Linked DNA regions of Caenorhabditis elegans. The protein of the gene in region 2 purifies or fractionates together with the protein of the main gene of each other region. This does not show direct contact. Each region holds a gene or a part of one and is shown on either strand. Other genes may lie near its edges.

Region 1 (3,292 bases), on a different chromosome or scaffold from region 2:
TGGAGTGAGACACAGAAATTTGGAAAGGGAAGTGGATTTAAATTGCTGTGGGAACAGTCTGAATTCTCCTTAAAATTTAATTTACCGGATTATGAAGAAATTTCCCAAATTCCAGTAGGCAAGCACGTTTCCTCCTACTGTATTCTTGCCTGCCTACAAGCTTGCCTACTGCCTAGGCATCTGAATTTTTGCAAACAATTAAAGGATCGGAAATAATTTTGCAAGTCTATAGGCACGTTTTGTAGGCAGGAATCAGGTGTAGGTCTCCTTACAAGGCAGATGTGAATTTTTACGAAGCAGATCGGGTCTCACTACAAAACGTGTCGGTTACTGTAGCTAGCAAGTTTTCTGAATCTTAAATTTGATCTGATAGTGAGCAGATAAAAAACGTTAGTGGGAAATGTGGTCTCACTTTGAAGATCAAGTTTCAAATTGAAATTTCGAATAAGATTGAAAAAATCTACCATAACCATTAGTTTTCATGGCGAGACCTCTCATGAATCATGATTACATTTCGAAGATTTTGGTATGCTGATTTGAAATTTGTAAATTTTGAATCAAACATTTTTTATTAACAAATAAAAACTTCAAAGTGAAAAATTCAAAACGTCCACAAATTAAATTTGACATCCAGATTCATATTCTTCTTATTAATTTTCCACTTAACAATTTTTTTTTCTTCCAAATGATCCAAAGCCCACACTAACGGCGTGAAGCAGCAGCTCTCATATCACGCAATGCTTTCGGAGCCTTATGAAGATTGGCGACTAGAGCCAAATATGGAAGACGGGGTGGTCTTGGGGCTGGTACCCGGATCTTTCTGGCTCTGGGGACTTTTGGCCCTTGTGCTTCAGAGCCTTGATGTGGTTTTTCCTTGATGCTTCTCAAAGCTTCCAACTTTTTTTGAATCTTCAGTGCTTTTCTCTCCAGTTTCTTATCTTTTTTGGCTCGTTTCTGCTCCTCTCGACTTCGTTTTAAGGTCAGTTGAAGTTCGAGTTTCTCCAATTTTTCCAGCTTTCTTTCCGGAGTGTTTTCCTTGGAGCGTACCCTTTTCTGGTGTTTCCCAACATTTCCCAGCTTGGATCTCAGTCGTTTCTTTCCACCCATGTTATTCTTCGGGGCTCTTTTCTTCCCAACTTTCACGTCATCTTTTTCTGAAATTTGCGAATCTCATTCGAGTATGTAATATAATCTGCCAAACGTAAACTAGACTTATCACATAGATTTATTACGATAATTTGCTCGTCAAATCTGTTGTTTATAAAGTTTTCGCGTCAAATTTGCGTATTTGCTATACCGTTCAGTGAACTAAAATTTTCCGAACACTACAATCGACGCTCAACACTAAAAGTCAAATGTAATTCCTTACTAACCTTGCGTACTCATAGCATCTCCCAAATCCTCCTCCGGCTCCACCTGTGGCTCCTCCACCTTATTTCTCTTAAGCTTTCCCACTGTAAATTTGAGCATTTTCAAATTTTTCTCGACTTTAAAAACTTACACAACTTCTTGCCCATTGGCATTTTCAGTTCAAAGCAATTGATTTTAGCAGTACAAGTAACCACTGAAATTGCAGGCACTGAGGAGGGTTTTTGTATCAATTTCTTATCAAAGAGTTTTTATCATCAATAATGTTTATAAGTGTGGAATTCTGAAATAGTGATGTTGACTATGAGTAAGGTAGTATTAAAATTGAAAATGTCATGTGAAATGGGAATGTTGACAGGAAAGATTATTGGAAAGTATGGGGAAATCGTGAGACCCAGAGGGAAAAGATGGGTGACGGGATTGCGAAATCAAAGTGTTGAAATTTTTAACTACAAAATTCACTAGAAATATGCTTAACAAATATTACACCCAAAGCATTTCAGCATTTCGAAAATTTTAACTTAGGCAATGTTTTAAATTTTTTAATATTCGAAATTTTCATTAACATTTGATTTTTTCAGACTACTGCCAGGTACAGCAACCCTCGGTTTTTACTGTGTGACCAATTTTTATCGATGACATAAAGTTATGGTATATTTATATTCAAATTTAAGTTTTTAAGTTTTCTGATTTTTAATCTTATGAATTACTATACAATTCAAGATTTAAAACATCTAACAGCTCATCGTCGTCGTTCAACATCTCCCCAACTCAAATTCAAATCTAGAAAAAGTGCTTTTGTTCCTTACAAAAACCGCCAAAAGGAATGAGTAACAGATTGTCATATCACTATCCCATCACATTGCCGCCGGAAATTGGCAAATAGAAAAGGACGACGGGTATTTGAATTCAAACTGGAAAACATTTTTGTAGTTGGAAGAGTCGAATAGTTTTGGCAAAGTTAATGCAAATCTACCTAAAAACCTAAAAGAGATGTTATAATAATTGTGTATTTGTAAAAATCATGGAAGCCGACACTTTACTGATCATATTTAACTTTAAAAAAATCCTTTTTCTCACATTTTGTTGCCTGAAAACTTGAAATATTTTAGGAGTGAAGAAATTTGGAAAAAATCAATTACCGGTAATTACCCCCTATGTTCCAAAAACATTTAAAATCCTCTTTCCCCCATTCCTAATCCATCTATTCATCATCATCTCATCAATTGTTTATGCACCTGTTCAGGAAGTGCACATAACATCTAATTGTCCAAAAAGAGTACACAAACCGGTAGAAAAATCGCAGTTGAAGAGCCAGTAATCTGTCAGTAATCTGATTGGAATTCGAGTGAACAAATAAAAACAGGTGTATTGGAAATGTTCAAGTAATTTTAAATATCACAGAAACGTAATTAGACAACATTTTCTGCTGATTGATGGGTTGATATTTTAAACCTACACAATCAAAATTCGTATTTTTATTTTCAAACGAGTAAATTCAAATGCTCATGCTGTGAAAGTCGTCTGAGAGCTTGCTGTAGCAAATCACAGAACATCCTTTGGCAATATCTTCATCTTTCCGTTCAGGTGGCGCCAAGTCATTCATCAAAGATTTCAGTTCGGCTTTTTGAATCGAAAACTGAAACACACGGATTGTTAAGTCTAAGGATATTCAACTAACGTTTGCTCCAGCTCTCTCAATACATCCCAAAATATCCAAACGTTGGAACAATGTGTACTGCCATGGATGCTCACGGAGCAGTTCAGTTGCAGTTGTCGCCGCCTTTTCATTCAAACGAACATCATCAAAATCGAGAAGAGCTGGAAAATGCTGTACTATTCCTAAGGAGACGAGAAGATACGTTTGATGCTCATCTGCAGTTGCCAATAGATTTCCAATAATCCACAGACATTCCTGAAATAA
Region 2 (6,996 bases):
GGAAATTCTCAAAATCGGTTACGATTTCAAGAAGTATATCGTAACCAAGAAAATCCCTCATAATTTATAATGCCCATAAACTGGATCAATTCGGCTCAATAAATAAAGTTCACGCGCAAGCACTGCTGACAGCTGTTTTATGATGCTCAGTGAGCAGCAAACGGTGAAAACACGTTTGTAGGGTCATTCTAGTAGATTTGGAATGATGTGCTAATCTTGGAGCCAGCGGAGTTGTAACTGAAGGTTTCAAAAAAAAAAAATATATCAAGAAATTTCAAGTTTACAAATAAAAGCCTATCTCCGAGGTGGCTTACGCCTTCTTTGTTCCTACCAAGGGTGGCAGAGTTTCTATTTTTGGAAGCACAAAAACTCGAAAAGGTCGTGGTTCGATTTTTCTTAAATTTTTAACACACTTTTGATTTATCTATCGCGTTTTGAAAAAACTGAAAAATTGCTCTTTTGAAACACTAACCAACTAACCAAGCTCATTCACTCTTTCCCAGTAGACATTAGTGACGAAAGCGACGGGAATGATGTTAATGATTCAACATTATAATCAATGAAATTCCTTACCTCATGAGATTCTATTTTTGAGCAAATTAGTTGAAAAATGAAAAACGTATAATACATGTCTGGATAATCAAGATAAACTGGAACATTTTTAATATTTTACAGAATGTTTAACTGCAAAACTATATGAAAGTTATTAATGATTGACATTTGTCAAATTACAATATTTCAATTAACCTTAAGATACTAGACTGTTAGAGATGATACTATGCACAAAAAGGGTAACAGAACATAGAACTTATGGAATGATTGTGTTTGAAAGAGAATCATTCAGATTGAGTGAAAAAGAAATGGAAAAATCATGATTTTTATGTGGAAAAGAAACGGAAAAACGGACAAGTCGAGGGGGATAAACATGAAGTCAATTGAAGGAGAATTTCAAAACAGATTTTAGTGACTCATAAAGTAATAAAAATCAAGTGTTGACTTTGAGAACAGATTTTGTAATTTATAATCCCAAACTAACACTTTCGGAACCAAGTTTAAAGTCTGTTATTATTCAAGCAAATTTCAAGGTCATTTGGTGAACAGGAAAAATATCCGAATGGTAGAAAAAATAAATGTTCGTTTGCAGGCCTCAGTTTTTGAAGCCAAACGCATTGAATGTGTGAAAAAGAAAGATTTGAAAGAGGCATCCCAAAAAAAGAGATTCGTTAAACAAATAGAGATGATGGTGTGGACAAAAAGAATAAAAGGAGAACAAGTGATAACAATATTCCCCCGTGTTCCAAGTTTCTTTTAGGGAAATGCCGATGAGTTAGAAATTATATGGTGAATACTGGAGATTTTGTTTAGAATTTAAAAGTTGTAAGTATGATACAACTCGACCTTCGTTTTTGCAGTAACTTGGCACCACTGAACCAACTTTTTTCGTTATTTCCTTGTTTTATATAACATATTGGGGTTTCTTGATTTACTTTTCGAATGAATAGAAGTAGAAACTGATATACTTTGAAATAGCTCCGCTGTTTTTTTTGTGGTTTGAGCTCAAATATACAGAGAAACAAATGAAAAGAAGAATGAGTAATTACGGGATTATGAGATGTAGGGAAAAGTATGTATACATATGATTCGTACTATTTTATGAAGAAAAAGTACCATATTTCCCCAGTATTTATCTTCTAGGAGCAACAGTTTTATTTATCAATTTTAATTAACTTATTTTCTTAAACTCTTTAAAAAATATGATAACTTTAATAATTTAAATTTTAAACAAAATAATTTTTATTAGCCCTGTAATGTTTTACCACGTTTTAACTAAAAAAACCAGAAGATTCAAAGATCGATAAGATATTTGAATCATTCCTATTTTACAGTGTTGTAAATTCTAGAAACACCATTTTGATTTCGTTCTCTTTGTCTAGTTGACAAGTAACAATAATGAGTACACCGGCAATCAAAAGTGAGTTTATCATTTTGTTACGTGGCAGGTTAGCTTGCAAGTGTACTCATGCATCAGGTAAACGGCAGGCATGAACTGAAGCAAGTCTGAGAAAATCTTGTGCATTGTCAATCATGAGGTAGGCATGAGAATGATGGAATAATGTAATGCAGGCATGGGCCAAGCATGAGATAGGTAATAGGTAAGCATACAGGCAGATGGACATGAGGGTACAGACAGTGGCATGAAGATGGGCATGTAGGTAGAGAGTTGTTTATTCATGCTCTTCCATGTTATGCCCTATATCATGAATGTTATTTTTCAGAACCAAAAAAGGCACCTCCAAGAAGTAATAGAAAAAAGAATTTGACAAAGGAACTATCTCGAGAAGCTTCACGAATGGGTGCACCTTCTCAAATGGGTGCTCCGTCAGCCGTTACACCAATACCCGTACCAGTGTCAGATCCAACAAAGAAGGGGACGACTGTAAGTGTACAAGTAGGGCTAAAACAACTTTTCTGATGATACCAGTATTTTCGAGACTTTCGCAGTTTCAAAATAGTATTCAAAAATGCTTTTTCAATGTTTTAAAGTTCACGTCCGAGGTCGAACAGCTGTATCGAATGAAAAATATTTCTAAAAATACTCACCTATGTGGCGTCATTTTTTAAAATCATGTTTGATTTGCGATGTGTGCATAATGTATCAGTGAGAAACATGGACACATCGCGATCGAGAAAAAGCGACCATTGCTGCGAGGACTCCTGATTATGATTGGGGCTATTATTCATTAAATTGTTCGCCATCTAGTTTAACACAACATTTTCAGATGAGTACAATGTCGCAAGTAAAATCCACAAAATCCAAAAACCACAAAAAAGAGGAAAAGAAAAAAGGTTCAAAGAATGATGAAGCCGATTCAAAAAAACCTGATAGCGCATCAAAAGATGATGAGTCCTCGACAAAGAAAGAAAAAGAGCCAAAAAAGTTTTTGAAGATTGTAGGAGGAAGAGAAATTAAGCTTCAAGAGCATCTGAGAAATCCTGTTCACCTTGGAGAGTTTAATGCAGTCAATGAGAAGAACGAGGTGAGCTGGCTAAACACGGATAGCCGTTGTGGAATCCTAATTGGAAATCTGAAAATTGTGATTGCTGGTAGCTTGACGTTACAACAGTTGATTCGTCAATATGATTTAGACGTCATAATCTAAGGCTAACAAGGAGGTTCCCTCCAGGGCTGCATTCCAATTTTCTGATTTTTTGATTTTTCGGTTATTCTTTTCAAATACGCGTATTTAAATACAGAACAGTTTTTCTGATAGTGCATTCAGGATGCTCTGTTTTTTATACGCCGCTCTTTTTCGAGCACACGTGACCCTAACGTAAAAAATCGAAGAAGCTTGATTGTAGTGCAATAAGTTCAGAACATCTACTTGATATTTTTTTTAGCCATGCGTGAATGTCGTAAGAACTTAGTTGTGAAGAAGCAGCAATTTTTCGAAATTATATGGATAACCTCACCAATATTTATATGTTATTAAACGAGTTATTCATCAAACATCTTCAGAAGTTTATTGTCCGCCTGGAGCCATCTAATCGTGGAAAATTGAAGTTTGGTAGTGACGTTGTAGCAGAAGTGGAAAAGTTGTTTGCTGGACAAGAAAAGGTGCCAGTTCTTCGAAATATTGAATTCTGTCAAACGCAACATTTGAATGTAAGTTTGAACAAATTTAATCAAATTTAGATTTCAAATTAACTTTCAGTACTGGATAATTTCTCCTTTTTCACTGCAAATTCTGGAAATTTTGAGGATTGTGAAAGCTCTCACTGTTCCCTGTGCATTCAATGTCGCCCTCCAGACTCTAGATGTAATTTTGATGTTTTTTTTTTCCATTTGAACTCCCTCAGCTTATCAGAGTCTTTTGATAAAGCTAAGACAGATGACTGAGATTTTGTCATCTTTTGAAACGAAATATAGCAAATAATTGTTACATTCAGGCTATTCAATATCTTCATCAAGCTGGATTTTTGAATCGTAACATAAAGCCTGCTTCATTTTCTGTCGGATTGAATGAAGAAGAAACGAAGATTTACATGACCGATTATCGTCTTGTTCGTACTCATATTGATCCATCCACAAAAAAGGTTCGCCCGGCTCGTACAGGTTTGAAGTACGGTGGAACAGCACGTTATGCAAGTATTGCTGGATTGAAAAAGAAGGATCAGGGAAGAAAAGATGACGTGGAAGCCTGGATCTATATGATTTATGATCTTATTGATCCGGAAAATGGGCTGAGTTGGAGAAAGTCGCCAAGATGTAATATGATGATCAAGGAGAAGGAAAACTTCAAATATCATGTTTTGCGTTGGTTTTAATTTTTTTAGGATTCTGGAGTCTGTAGTTTTATCTTTAACTTTCAGCACATACTTATGACAAAGTCCCTGAAGAATTCAAGAAACTCGTCGACCTCGTTCACGGTTATTCTTATGATAGTCTTCCAGATTATGCGTATGCTTTGTATAAAACTAGCCATATATATTTTATAAGTTTTAGAGCATTCAAGGAGATTGTTCAAAATGTGGGAAAATCAAAGGGTCATGATATGACAACATGTGATTGGGTTGGGAAAATTACGCCAGTCAATCAGGAGATTGCAATCAAAACAGCAGCTGAAAAATCAACTGGAAACAAGTGTTCGGGAGATGATGATTTTGAGTTAGTTGGGCGAGATTTTTGTACCGAGTTCACAAAGCACAAAAAACCTGCAGGATTTTACAATGATTTCGAACTATTGCTAAAATTTAATTTAAACTTTTTTCCTAAAGAGTACAGGCGTTCAAATGTTCCGAAGGGATAGTTCTATTCAAAACATGAATTAACAATTTCAGATTCAAAACAGCACGACCTGTTCGTAAAATAATGAATCCCGATGACGTCATCACCAATGGCCAATATGCGTGGAAAGTTGTAAGGCTACTTGGAAGTGGTGGATTTGGAGATGTTTACAAGGTGTTTGACGATAAGGCAAAAGGACCCAAAAAAACTCATTATGCACTGAAAACTGAAAGTGAAGGTGGAAAGAAGGCGATGCTCCGGTTGAAAGTTGAAATGCAAGTGATGATCACAATTTCGGATGCACGGAAAAAATCAAAAGGAGATGTTAACAGGCATTTTGTGGATTTCATTGATCGTGGAAAAAGTGAAGAATTGAAGTGCAAATACATTGTTATGAGTCTTGTTGGTCCTTCTTTAGATGATTGCCGAAGAAAGTTTGGAGTCAATCTTTCGAATACTTCTACTCCATACATCATTGCTATTCAGACTTTAGAGGTTAGTAGCAATTTGGGCTGAAGGCAGGCGTGGCATGTAGGATGAAATGGGGTAGGCATTAGGAAGGCAGGTTGGCAAGTAGCAAACATGTGGCAGACATCTAAGGGGTAGTAATAAGGTAGGCACAACTACAGACATGATGCACGCGGTACGTATGAATGAGACAGACAGGTATGCTAGCATGAAGTAAACCTGTAGGTAGGTAGGTATGATGTAGGCATGAGGTAATCGCATAGTCCAATCAGCGCGCGGCATGAAACACGCATAAGATAGGTGTGGAGGCAGGTATGAGATAGGCACGTATGCCTGAAGACGTGCCAACCCATTTCTTTTTGTACACTAATCCTGATCGTTTCAGTCCATCCGTGATCTTCACAATCTTGGATATCTTCATCGTGACATAAAGCCAGCCAACTTTGCCGTTGGTGTTGGAGCTAAAGAGTCAACCGTCTTCATGCTTGATTTCGGAATTGGAAGAAGTTATTTGGATCCGAAAACCAAACAGCACAGGGTAAAAACATGGTGCAACTTGAATTTTAGTGAATGAATCAATTTTCAGGCTCCACGTAAAAAAGTTAAGTTCTTGGGAACACTTCGATATGCATCACGAGCCTGTATGCTAGAAGTAGATCAAGGACGCAAAGATGACTTGGAATGCTGGATTTATATGGTGTTTGATATTTTTGATCCGAAAAATGGCGTCTCGTGGAAAAAGCAGAGAGATCGAGTCAAAATTCGAGAGGCTAAGCAATTATTTTTCGATGGTAAAGGTTAGTTACTGAATAAACGGGGGAAAGTGATTTTTGACTACTCATAGTCATTAATTGTCTTTAAAATTCCCAAGACACAAATAATTTACAGCTCAATACGACTATGCTCCAATCAGTTTGAGACCAATTATCATTTACATCAACAGTCTTCAATTCCAAACAACTCCCGAATACGCAAATCTTGTCAAGACTTTATATACATCGTCATCTGCTTCTGGTTATCCAATTCATAGTCTTGATGACGGTGGATGGGTTGGAAAACTAAAGAAAGAGGCAAAGTCGAAAATGGAGAAAAAGACTGCACGCTTTGGTGATAGCTCTTCAGAATCTGGAAAACAGTCTGGAACTGATGAAGATTGATACATCTCAACTGATCTACTCGATTTTTCTTCTTTTTCTTGATTGTAAATAAAGGGTTTTAGTGGATTTTATAGTTGTTCTTTTCTAGATTTATTCAGATACTAAGAATTTATTTTTTTGAAAATTATAACGAATTTACATTTATTTTACAATTTAAAATCAAGATGCTATCACAATTTTTAAGCACGGCACACAACAAAAGAAGACGGCGAAAACATGAAACCCATAAGAAAAATAATGCAATAAATCAATTATTCACCCACTGAGCTCCGAAATATAGTTTGGCAATATCATTCATTCGAACAAATGGAATGGCGGCCTGCGCCGATTGTGGTACCGAGTTTCCAGCTCTTCCAAGTGATGTAACTGCATCTTTCCAGGTTTTTGGATTACTGTCGACTAAAGGATCATCTGGAGAGTTTTCATAAAGCTCTACACGAGCAGCTTCTTCCCCAGCAAGTGCACATAGGTATTGAGAATGAGCAGTACTGTATCGTTTGTTCGCTTCATTTGCAAGTTGAATAAGTCTAGCAGCAAGAACACGTGCCAGTGCAACTGCTGATCGATCGTCCCGAACACAAGATG

Evidence for each region. The genes of interacting proteins can lie anywhere in the genome.
Region 1: the proteins of H05L14.1 (region 2) and F53B2.8 fractionate together in Caenorhabditis elegans (co-fractionation; one large-scale study listed by BioGRID). This does not show direct contact.

Annotation. Positions count from the first base shown.
Region 1 is NC_003282.8:12,525,697-12,528,988, forward strand, and holds F53B2.8 (Coiled-coil domain-containing protein 86), read right to left. Parts: upstream 1,701-3,292; 5' UTR 1,524-1,700; coding exon 1,502-1,523; intron 1,455-1,501; coding exon 1,374-1,454; intron 1,155-1,373; coding exon 703-1,154; 3' UTR 535-702; downstream 1-534. Other genes in the region: F53B2.5 (Importin subunit alpha), read right to left, coding at 2,867-3,007, 3,050-3,283.
Region 2 is NC_003279.8:7,971,954-7,978,949, reverse strand, and holds H05L14.1 (Protein kinase domain-containing protein), read left to right. Parts: upstream 1-1,871; 5' UTR 1,872-1,950; coding exon 1,951-1,972; intron 1,973-2,276; coding exon 2,277-2,437; intron 2,438-2,780; coding exon 2,781-3,038; intron 3,039-3,517; coding exon 3,518-3,664; intron 3,665-3,713; coding exon 3,714-3,818; intron 3,819-3,948; coding exon 3,949-4,315; intron 4,316-4,371; coding exon 4,372-4,459; intron 4,460-4,504; coding exon 4,505-4,666; intron 4,667-4,839; coding exon 4,840-5,281; intron 5,282-5,639; coding exon 5,640-5,792; intron 5,793-5,840; coding exon 5,841-6,051; intron 6,052-6,142; coding exon 6,143-6,411; 3' UTR 6,412-6,477; downstream 6,478-6,996. Other genes in the region: rbg-2 (Rab3 GTPase-activating protein regulatory subunit), read right to left, coding at 6,659-6,996.